Linked DNA regions of Caenorhabditis elegans. The protein of the gene in region 2 purifies or fractionates together with the protein of the main gene of each other region. This does not show direct contact. Each region holds a gene or a part of one and is shown on either strand. Other genes may lie near its edges. The genes, in order: vha-13 and cah-2.

Evidence for each region.
Region 1: the proteins of cah-2 (region 2) and vha-13 fractionate together in Caenorhabditis elegans (co-fractionation; one large-scale study listed by BioGRID). This does not show direct contact.

What each region holds. Positions count from the first base shown.
Region 1 is NC_003283.11:14,349,853-14,355,233, reverse strand, and holds vha-13 (V-type proton ATPase catalytic subunit A), read right to left. Parts: upstream 3,526-5,381; 5' UTR 3,518-3,525; coding exon 2,693-3,517; intron 2,412-2,692; coding exon 2,183-2,411; intron 2,083-2,182; coding exon 1,316-2,082; 3' UTR 812-1,315; downstream 1-811. Other genes in the region: Y49A3A.3 (tRNA:m(4)X modification enzyme TRM13), read right to left, coding at 1-249, 292-784; cept-2 (diacylglycerol cholinephosphotransferase), read right to left, coding at 4,790-5,381. UniProt on the Caenorhabditis elegans protein: Catalytic subunit of the V1 complex of vacuolar(H+)-ATPase (V-ATPase), a multisubunit enzyme composed of a peripheral complex (V1) that hydrolyzes ATP and a membrane integral complex (V0) that translocates protons.
Region 2 is NC_003280.10:7,480,061-7,485,122, forward strand, and holds cah-2 (Putative carbonic anhydrase-like protein 2), read right to left. Parts: upstream 3,050-5,062; 5' UTR 3,032-3,049; coding exon 2,986-3,031; intron 2,482-2,985; coding exon 2,345-2,481; intron 2,282-2,344; coding exon 2,159-2,281; intron 2,104-2,158; coding exon 1,927-2,103; intron 1,885-1,926; coding exon 1,818-1,884; intron 1,467-1,817; coding exon 1,312-1,466; intron 1,258-1,311; coding exon 1,126-1,257; intron 1,079-1,125; coding exon 989-1,078; intron 944-988; coding exon 857-943; 3' UTR 691-856; downstream 1-690. Other genes in the region: ubc-6 (UBC core domain-containing protein), read left to right, coding at 1-222, 270-448.

The DNA.
Region 1 (5,381 bases), on a different chromosome or scaffold from region 2:
TCAGCTCATCAATCTTGCTCAAGTCCATATGTTCAATTGAGCATCGGAAGCGTTTCATTGATAAATTCGGATTCTCTCGAAATGCAGCAGTATCAAATTTATTTCGTGATCCAGAGCGATCCATGAGAATATAATTTCCATTTGGCGCTGCTTTGGAGATCCAATAAGCTAGTTGACCTTTTCCAGCTCCGAGCTCGAACATGCAAGATTTGGAGCAAGTTGGAAGTAGCCCTGTGGATTCGATGTGACCTGAAAAGAAAATTATTAAAATGGAAATGCATTTTATAAAACCTAAAATAGACGAAATCTGGTATAATTGCTTCTTTTTCGTGTTGTTCAGATCTGAATTTTGTGCGATATTTTGCTCGACGAGCTCATTTCTTTGTTGCTCAACAATCAAACGATCCATTACATCCGTCTCATAGCACTTCCAGATCTTGTGCACAGTGGTACAAATCTCATCTTCAGTGGCTCTTCGATCAATTTTATCGGTGCGTTTGGTCTCGCCACGAATAGAATTTGCATCAATTTTGATATATTCTGCATCTCTGATTCTAGAATTACACCTTGTCAGATGAATCTCTAGATCTGCCTTCAGAATCGTATGTTTTCCATCATTCGGGCAAACCATACGATCAGTGTTATTCTGATCGTGAATTGAATGCTCTCCACAGAACCGATTTCCCTTTTTCACCAGCATCTTACACCGTCGCTTCTTAATTGGTAGAATATATTCACAGCAAGCGTTCTGCTGTTGTTGCTGCTTCACCGAATCCAATTCCATTTTGAAAACGAGACCTGCGTGCGAGATATTTGTGATTTTCCTAAAGTTTATTGCTATAGTTGAATTGGTGTGTCTCAAAAGTATTATACATATCACAACACAGTAAAACGTGGTTCGTAAGACTATACGGGTTGGTTGTCGCAAAAAAAGAAATGGAAGGGCACAAGTAAAGTAGTCTATTCAACAAGAAGAATACCAAAAATATTGATTAATATAAGTGAAATTGTTGTTTAAAACGGGAGTTGTAAGGCGACCAGATACATTGTGTGTGGTTGGAATTTTTTGAAGTTTAGAAATCTACAAAAGAGAAAAAAGGTGCAATAAATATCTGAAATTTGGAATGTCAAATCAATCAAACACTTTAAAGAGGATAAAAGTAGAGAAAGGAGGCGAATTGGGTGAGGGGATCAAGGAAAAACATATACTTTTAACTAAAAAGTACACGCTCAGCAAAACTGAACAGAATCTAGCGGGGAGGCGAAAACAGAAACAAACAAGAGAATCAATTTTAAAATTTCTAAAAACATTAATTTAATCCTCGAGGTTTCTGAAAGCGTTAGCCATAGCCTCTGCCAAATCTTCGTAATCCTTGCGAATCTTGGCTTCACCATCGGCAACTGGATCCTTGAATTTCATGGCAGAAAGCTGGTAGATCAAATCTCCCATGCTATCCTTGATGACGTTCCATGTGATCTTGTTATCAGATTGAGCAGTTGCTTCAACAGCATGACGGGCCAAGTCATAGAATCCAATCATATTCTTGAGCATACCGACAGTCTTGTAGAATGGGCAGAAACGATCGTATTTGGTGTATCCGTTCTGTTGCAAGAAATCGTCCTTGATGATCTTGGCAACCTCAAGTGTGACCTTGTCTGATTCGGCGAGGGAAGCTTTTCCGACGAGTTGCACAATTTCGGAAAGATCTTCTTCTTCCTGGAGGATCTCCTTGCACTTGGTACGGAGTGAGACGAACTCTGGGTAGTTCTTCTCGTAGAACTCCTCAAGAGCACGCATGTACTCGGAGTAGGAAATAAGCCAGTTAATAGATGGGAAATGTTTACGTTGAGCAAGCTTCTTGTCAAGTCCCCAGAACACCTGTACGATACCGAGGGTGGCGGATGTGACTGGATCGGCGAAATCTCCTCCTGGTGGTGATACGGCTCCGACAATGGTGACGGATCCTTCACGTTCTGGAGATCCGAGACACTTAACACGTCCGGCACGTTCGTAGAAGGAAGCGAGACGAGCGGCAAGGTAAGCTGGGTATCCGGAATCGGCGGGCATTTCTCCGAGACGTCCTGAAAAGAAAATTTGAAAATGTTCAGAGAAATTTCAAAAATATTAAGAAAAAAATATGAATTTCAAATATGAGTATATTTTAAACGGATTAAAACTCACCAGAAATCTCACGAAGAGCTTCGGCCCAACGAGAGGTAGAGTCAGCCATCATGGCAACGTTGAGACCCATGTCACGGAAATATTCGGCAAGGGTGATACCAGTGTAGATGGAAGCTTCACGAGCAGCGACAGGCATGTTGGAAGTGTTGGCGACAAGAGCTGTACGCTTCATGATGGAAGTGGTGACACCTTCGACCTCCATGGTGAGCTCTGGGAAATCACGGAGTACCTGAAAAACAGAAAAAATTAGAATTGTAAAAAATAGGGGCAAAATTGTTAATTTATAATTTAAATGCGGGACAAAACATTGGAAAAAGTAAGAAACATAAACCTTTTAATTTTTAATTGTTTTCTAAATTTTATTCTTAAACGAAACTATTCTGACTAAACTTTTTCACAATTTTTTTTTGAAAAATTAAAACTATTGATTCCAAAAACGAAATTATGGAAAGGCTTTCTTGTTTATTTGATTTTTTCTAATGTTTTTAAAATTATTTTCAAAAAAATTACCTCAGACATTTCGTTTCCACGCTCTCCGCATCCGACGTAAATAATAGCATCAGAGTTGGAGTATTTGGAGAGAGATTGGGAAATGACAGTCTTTCCACATCCGAAAGCTCCTGGAATGGCGGTGGTTCCTCCTTGGACACATGGGAACAAGGCGTCGAGAACACGCTGTCCGCAGAGAAGTGGATTGTTGGCAGCGAGCTTCTCTGTGACTGGTCTTGGAGATCTGACAGGCCAGATTTGGAGCATAGAGAATTTCTGCTTGCGTCCGGCGAATTCGAGCTCGAGAAGGGTGTCCTCAACTGTGTATTGCCCGGATGGAGCAACGAAGGTGATGGTTCCGCATGCACTTGGTGGTAGAAGAATCTTGTGCTTGATGAGCAAGTTCTCATCGACGGTTCCAATGATGTCACCTCCGGTCACGTGTCCTCCAACACGGAGATCCTTGGACACAACGAAGTCCCAGCGAGCTTCACGAGAAAGAGCATTAGTGGAGACTCCCTTTGGAATGTAGATGGATTGAGTAATATCAGCAATATCCTTGAGTGGACGCTGAATTCCGTCGAAAATCGATCCCATGATACCTGGTCCAAGTTCGACGGAAAGTGGTTTACCGGTACGAAGTACTGGATCTCCGATTGTGACTCCAGATGTTTCCTCGTATACTTGAATAGTGGCGTAGTCACCCTCGAGACGAATAATCTCTCCGACGAGCTCTTGATGTCCTACACGAACCAACTCGTACATAGCCGATCCAGCCATCTTCTCGGCTGTGACGACAGGTCCGGACACTCCGTAAACGAATCCGTACGAAGATTCTGCGGCCATCTTTTCCTGGAATGAATGAATTTAGAAAGCTATATGGAAATCGAAAAGAAAATCAAAATAAACCTCGTTTTTCAACAAGAAGACCGAAAAGACAATGGAATTTTTAGGTTTAGAAGTAGGAAAACTCATTAATTCGAGCAATAATGCAAAATATAAAATACAAAGAATAGATATAAAGTGGCAGGGCAATGTTTAATCGGATAAACTTGAACCCTTATAAATATTCAACGAGAATTGGAATATAAATCAATTTATCATTCAATTTACAAGAACTTTTGTAAAGGAAAAAATCAAAGTAAAGGTAAACGAGACAAAAAAACGAGTAATTCCTGTGACTAAACGGGGGGAGAGAGATGTGGTAAAAAAGCTCACAGAAGTTGTTGGAAAAAGCGGAAGATGTGGAAGAGAGCGCACTGCACGGCATTCTACAACGAATAGAAGTGGTTCGATTGACAAGGAGAAACGTCGGCAGGCTAGCGAGAGACAGCGCGCCGAGAGCAGAGAGCAGATAGAGAGAGCGTGGCCGTGGCGGTCGCAAAAACCAGGAACCGCCGGTCGTGCGACTAGAAATCATCGCCGCGTTGCAGCTTCGCCCTATTGAACCGAGAATTTTATACAGCGAGGAGTGAATGTGAGAGAGTGAATTTTGTGTGGCAGAAGTTGTGTAGGTTTACGTCTATCTAGGTAGCGGGGAGAAAAGGTTACACGTCTGTCATCAAGCGAAATTTGATAAACTAATGTGGAAGCGAAGTTACTCTATTAGATAGGAAAAATATGATTTGCGAGGTTTGAGCGGAAAATTTATGTTCGTTTGGAACTATTTTCAAGTTATTCGCCTTAACAATTGGACCACAGTATCATTATAACAATAGTTGTTTTCTAAATTTCGATTAAATAGATACGAAAAAAAAGAAAAATTATATCCGCAAACTCTGAAAAAAAAGTTAAACCAATATTTCCATACAGTAATCTCTTCAAAGGCACAGGACGCTCAAAAACGAAAGGTCTCGCAACGAAAATGTAATTTTCTCCCCAATTTGCTCATTCAGTTATTTAGAATTACGTAGTCGTTAGAATTCTTGAAGGTTTAGACGATGAGACAAAAAAAAAGATGAAAAGTGATTGATCTGTGGTTGTGATAAGAAATTGAGACCGCGACGCATTACGCGTTGCACTTCAAAACATTCCTTTTCCGCTCATAAACACCCGCATTTACAATTAAAATTACAAATTACTATAGGTGAAAAGCCATATTTAATTATACAATCGAAATTACTTGCTACTTCCAGCTCTTGGTGCAGTGACTTTGAAACAATAAATGCCCATATGGTCGCAAATTTGGCGCGTTATGAATAAACAGTAGACTAAAAGTGATGCATAAACGTAAACAGTCGTGTACTTCAGAAGAGTTGGCTCATTGATTTTGATGTCGTAGTATTGATTGATCATCAATGCGATTGGCCCCATGTAGATCCAATCCCAAAGTGAGAGCTCACTTCTGCTCATGTGTGCAACAATCAGACGATTTGTGGCTTTTGCCGCAACGGCTCCAAATTGAAGAACAAATATAACAATAAGATCATCATAGACGCCAGATGCCGATTTGCTGTAGATCATACAATATGGAACAATGACTGCAAGAAGTGGGCAGGCTGGGAAGAGAACTGATGTTCCAGCAACAGTTGATCCATTCTTTCCAACACCATCTGTGAAGATGACTGATAAGTAGCCCAGTGCCTGATAAATCGTTCCAAGACCAACACAGGCTAGCAGGAGATGCTTGAGAGCATATCCAAATATTCCAACACTCCAGAGTTTTGGTCCAAAGAGTGATGTACAGAGAAGCATTGAAATAATAGACCAT
Region 2 (5,062 bases):
TCAAGTTTCAAGATGAATCTGTTGTTAAAAAAGAAGTTGAAGCAGCCAACAATCAAAAGAACCCGACAGAAACAGAGCCAAGTGAAGAAACAAGCTCGGTCCCAACAGAAAATGTCGAAGAATCAGAAGAAGATGCAGATGAGAGAGAAGAAGGTACTACTGTTAATGTCAATTCATCAGAAGTACCAGATGTCGCACAACCTGCTGTCCAACCCATTCGAGGTACTTGAATTGAAACATTTTGTCTTGAAAATAATTTATATTTTCAGATCCACAACCTCTGGTATTCCAACACCACGCTCCCCGCTTGGCATCAACAAACTTTGACTATACCCTTCTATACAAGATTCCAGTTATCGCTTTGTGTTTCGCTATTTTCTTCACACTATTGGCTCGTCGCTTCCTTGTCGATAATCTAACTTCACCAAAAGACGGTTCCGAGTTGTAAATACATGTATAATATTATTCAATCCCGTTGTACTTTTTCCATTTTCTAAAATCAAACTTCGTGCAATCACTTGCCAGTTATTTCTTGGCTCTCTCCTCTCAGTTAGTATTTAGATTCTAATGAAATTATCACAAAATATTTGAGTATCTTTCTTTGTGATTCTTATTTCTTGAGTTCTTTTTTATTCATAAAATTGGTTTTAACTATTTGTTCAGTCAAAAAATATCACAAAATTCTACAGAAAGAGAGTCAAACACTTCATTTAAAATCGAACCCGTATTTTATAGTTCCAAAGTGTCATTAAATACAGAAATACACAGATCAATAGTTAAATCTTTCGGAGAAAGAATGAGCAAGAACGCGAAGTTTTTCAAAGTGAAAGAAGAGTAGAGAATGTACAGTAATTTACTAAAATGAACCGGCTTTGGAAACATCATCAGGACGAATGCTATCGATTTCGAAAACTTCCGATGTTGGAACATATCTTCGAGAAACCTGTTGAAATAAAATATTAAAATTTATCTGCGACGTGTATCTTACCGAATCATTCCGCTTATTTCTACCAGGATTCGCTTGGTACCCCATTTCCACGTAAACATTCGATGGACAACTTGAAGATACAGTAGACTGCTGAACAATTAACTATATTAAAGATTTGGAAGACCAAGTTTTCTCACTTTTGATCCAACATTTATATTTGTTCTAACGAGACGGCCATTTAACGATTTCAATGGACGATATGCAGGAGTCATATATGATGGTTCTGGTTGTTTTGTTTCTGTTTTTTGCATTTCATTCCAAATTTGAAGCTGAAATGTTTCAATTTATTTCAGCCCTTTGCATTAGATTCATTTATGACTTACATCATCATTGGTTATATAAATTGGATTATTTAAAATAACCCAAGTGACAGTTTCATGACATCCGGGAAAAGTTAAAGATCCTTCGTATGTCACATAGTGAGAGGTTTTTGGTAAAAGTGCAGATGGTTGAAAATCAGTGAGATTTGTAGTCTGGCCTGAAAAATGAATCTAAATTTTAACGCAGTTTGAAAATGCCGTTTGATTTTATGAAATATTTCTTGTTATCGTAATTTGGTAAGGCAATGCTAAAGGCACAGGTTTTTTCCAGTGGGTCCCAGACCACCTTGTCTTTTTTTTTCCGTTCCAAATTTAGCAGTTATATTTTTCACACCAAGATTGAAATAGTATTCATGTAGAACAAACTCTAAAAATATGGTTGCACCATGTTCCAGATGCCAAACAAAAAGGATCTTACACTGTAAACCGGTCATCCGGTATTTTGAGTGAAGATTTTGAGTTTTTCATTTTCAATTATATACTTTCTGTACCATTGAAAAAACACGCACCTTTATAGTTAATGCTCTGTGACGCAACCGTTAATCTTCGTAACTCCACAGATGTAGTCTTTCCAATCTAAATACAAATTTTGACTTTAGAAAAAGTATAAGTACTTACATCAACAATTACAGAAACTGCAAGAAGCCCTCTTGGTGATGTCATTGCAACACTGAAATTTGGATAAAGTGCACTATTATATGCTAGTAGCTGAATTTCCGCCGGAAATCGAACTCTGTCTACAGTATGCTCTGATCCTTTCTCTCCTTCATCTGCTCTTCCAAAGTGTACGCTTATCTGAATTAAATTTATTTGCTCGTGGTCTAAAAATTCCTTTTCGAATAAAGGGTACCTGATGGAGTTTATAACGATAAGGCATTGTTGGTCCTCCTGTTATATTGATTGTTGGCCGATTTGGTAGATCTTTAACTGTGACCACAGGAAGTTGTCCGGTATTTTCGAAAACTGCTTCCACCTGGAAAAATGAACAAAATTATACGGGAAACTCATAATCAGAAAGCATAGAAAACGAACTTACAATATTTCCCTCAATGTTTATAGGCATTAGATGTGGATCATATAAAAGTTGGGAAGGATCAATGTTTACTGGTGATTGCATTTGACCAGCTGTACACATTCTCCAGTCACCGTGTAATAATCCCCAGAAGTCGGGACCTGAAAATATTGAATTGTTGAAAATATAAACCAGTCATGGTATTTATGTATTTATAACTATTCTTCTATGCTTAAAGATTAAAAAAAATAATTTGGAACTTTTGTTGGCAAAGTTTTGGTAAACTGCCAAATTTACGTAATATTTTGACTTTCGAAAAGTTTAGAACAGTATCGCAGGATCTTCAAAATGTTCAAATACAAATAATTAAAACATTTTTAAAACTAAAAATTAATAGGAAACACTTTTTGGTCGAATTTATGAGTGAGTGGAACTAATCCACTTTTGAAAGTTAAATGCATCAGCTTGTAAGCTGCTGAACTATTTTCAAAACTTTAACTATAGGTGTAATACCTAGGAGTATTCAATTATATACGTGATTAGTGAATCATAACCCTAAATTATAGTAAGACATAATGAATATGATTGTTGTCATAAACAGAATATTTGAAGTTTGTGTATTTCAACTTCCAGATTTTAAATCACGGGGAAGTCAGATTTCTTACCTATAACACAAGGATATATACAGGCTGTCAAGAGCCATGGTATCATAATATTCTGCGGAATCTTCTGGAATGAAGGTAGTGGGAATGAGCAAAAGAGAACAAAGAAAAAAGAGAAAAAGTGCAGAGAAAGAGAGTCTCTGAAAGTTGCCAGTGACAACTGACACGGTACTTGTTCGTCTCAGAATTATTTACGAGTTTGTCGGCTAATTGGTGTCGAAAACGACAAAAATGTACATTCACGAGTAGTACGAATAGCGAAAAGAGAGCTCAGCCCCAAAAAAAGACAAGGAAGATTGATTGGGTGCACTTTTTTCGGTGGAGTACATGATGAGGTGGGACTGGTTAAGAAGATGAAACACTCAGATTGCCAGCTCACGGAGCACCTTTAGATGTGTTCATTGCCGGAAATGTGGCTTGTGAAGAAGCGCAGAGACATGGCGAGCAATTTTGCATATTTGAATCAGTAGTAAACGAGAGGAGAAGGGCACGCAATTGAAACAAGATGACCGGAAATCTTTGGACACGAAATTAGAAAACAAGTGTCAGGAAAATTTTCTGTGTGGGCTTTTTGCTGAACCTTGGAGGTATAGTAAAATACATATTCAACACAGAGTAATCAAAAAAGATAATGGTTAAAAAATCTAAAATGCACGGACTGTCAGGTATATGGTGCACAATTTTGAAACTTATCAAATTCTAAGTCTTATAGTTAGATACCTTACTAGATGTCTAGTGGATAATGTTTAAAGTACTACGCAACCTATTATGATAAGGTGTCAAAAATGGGAGCACATTTATTACAAATAATGTTATTTTTCATTTTGTGAAAAAAATTAAATTTTATTACTTCTTTTCAATATTTTAAGCTTGGGCTGATGCTAGAAAATTTTAACTCTTCAAGCTTTTTATTTAATATTGATAATTTTTGTAAAAATTTATTGAGCAAGGGGATGCTCCGAAAATGAAGTGAAACGATGAAAAGAAATATGGAAAATGAAGAAAGTTAGTTATAACTGATGGAGCCAATTATTCGAGTTATATATCATACACTTATCCTCCTTTTCTCAAAGAAAATATTTTCTTTTTCAACAAAACTGCTGTGTAACATAACAAAAACGTGTATTTTCTTCGCAGGATGACGACTGGGAGGGCCGAATTGGTTAGAAATTAGATTGGGCCAAAACATTTACTGCCGCGAGACGGAGTCCGATTAGAAACGGCAAGGCGTTGCTTCACCGCCCCGCTGTGACCCACAATTTGCCAGGTATTCCGTTCAGGAAACTGCAGTTTTATTAGTGCAAAAGCACTATTCAAAAGTGGTAGAGAGTGGCTTTTTCGGGGTCAGTCGAGAATGTGCCAAAAATGCATGAGAATGAGCTGAAAAATGTGGATAAGAAAAAGAAAGAGCTTGATGAAAGAAAATAACAAAAATGTTGCCGTTTGATACTCTCTTGAATATGTGGGACGGAGGTGCGAGAGTAGGCGAAAAAGATTGTGTGAGCCCATAGACAAATCGTGGGAAACTCGTATCCAGTAAATTGATGAATAATTCTTTTGATTTCGGGAGGATCATCAAATGAAAATAGTGGGAAGATTAAAGAGAAAAAGACAAGAAATGTTCGATGAAATCTCTAAATGTCCGACGAAGCACTGAGAACCTCTCTATTAGAAGTTATTTAGCAAAAATACAAATTTTTATAACTTCAAATAAGATTAAAATTGCTTTTGAAGACCGGCAATTTTCTACAGCTGGTGAGTTTTAAAATTTATTTGAAACAGTGAGAATATCTTTATTGGTTTTAATCCTTTAAAATAAGTTATTTATTGAGCATTTTTCAGGCAAAATTTAGAACAAAAAATGTTTATGAATTTGAATCAATCATTCTTGACTCCTGACGAAAGGAAACCTTAGAAACATGGTGCGGAAATATTTTCTTCAAAAACAAAACTATTATTTTTCAGATACTACACAAAGCTTATTCCAGTGTTATTTTAGTTTTTCTTTGCAAAATAAACGATGAGAACACCTTTTCATGTCGTCAGACTATCGTGATCGGAAAGAGAGTCTGGAAAAAAG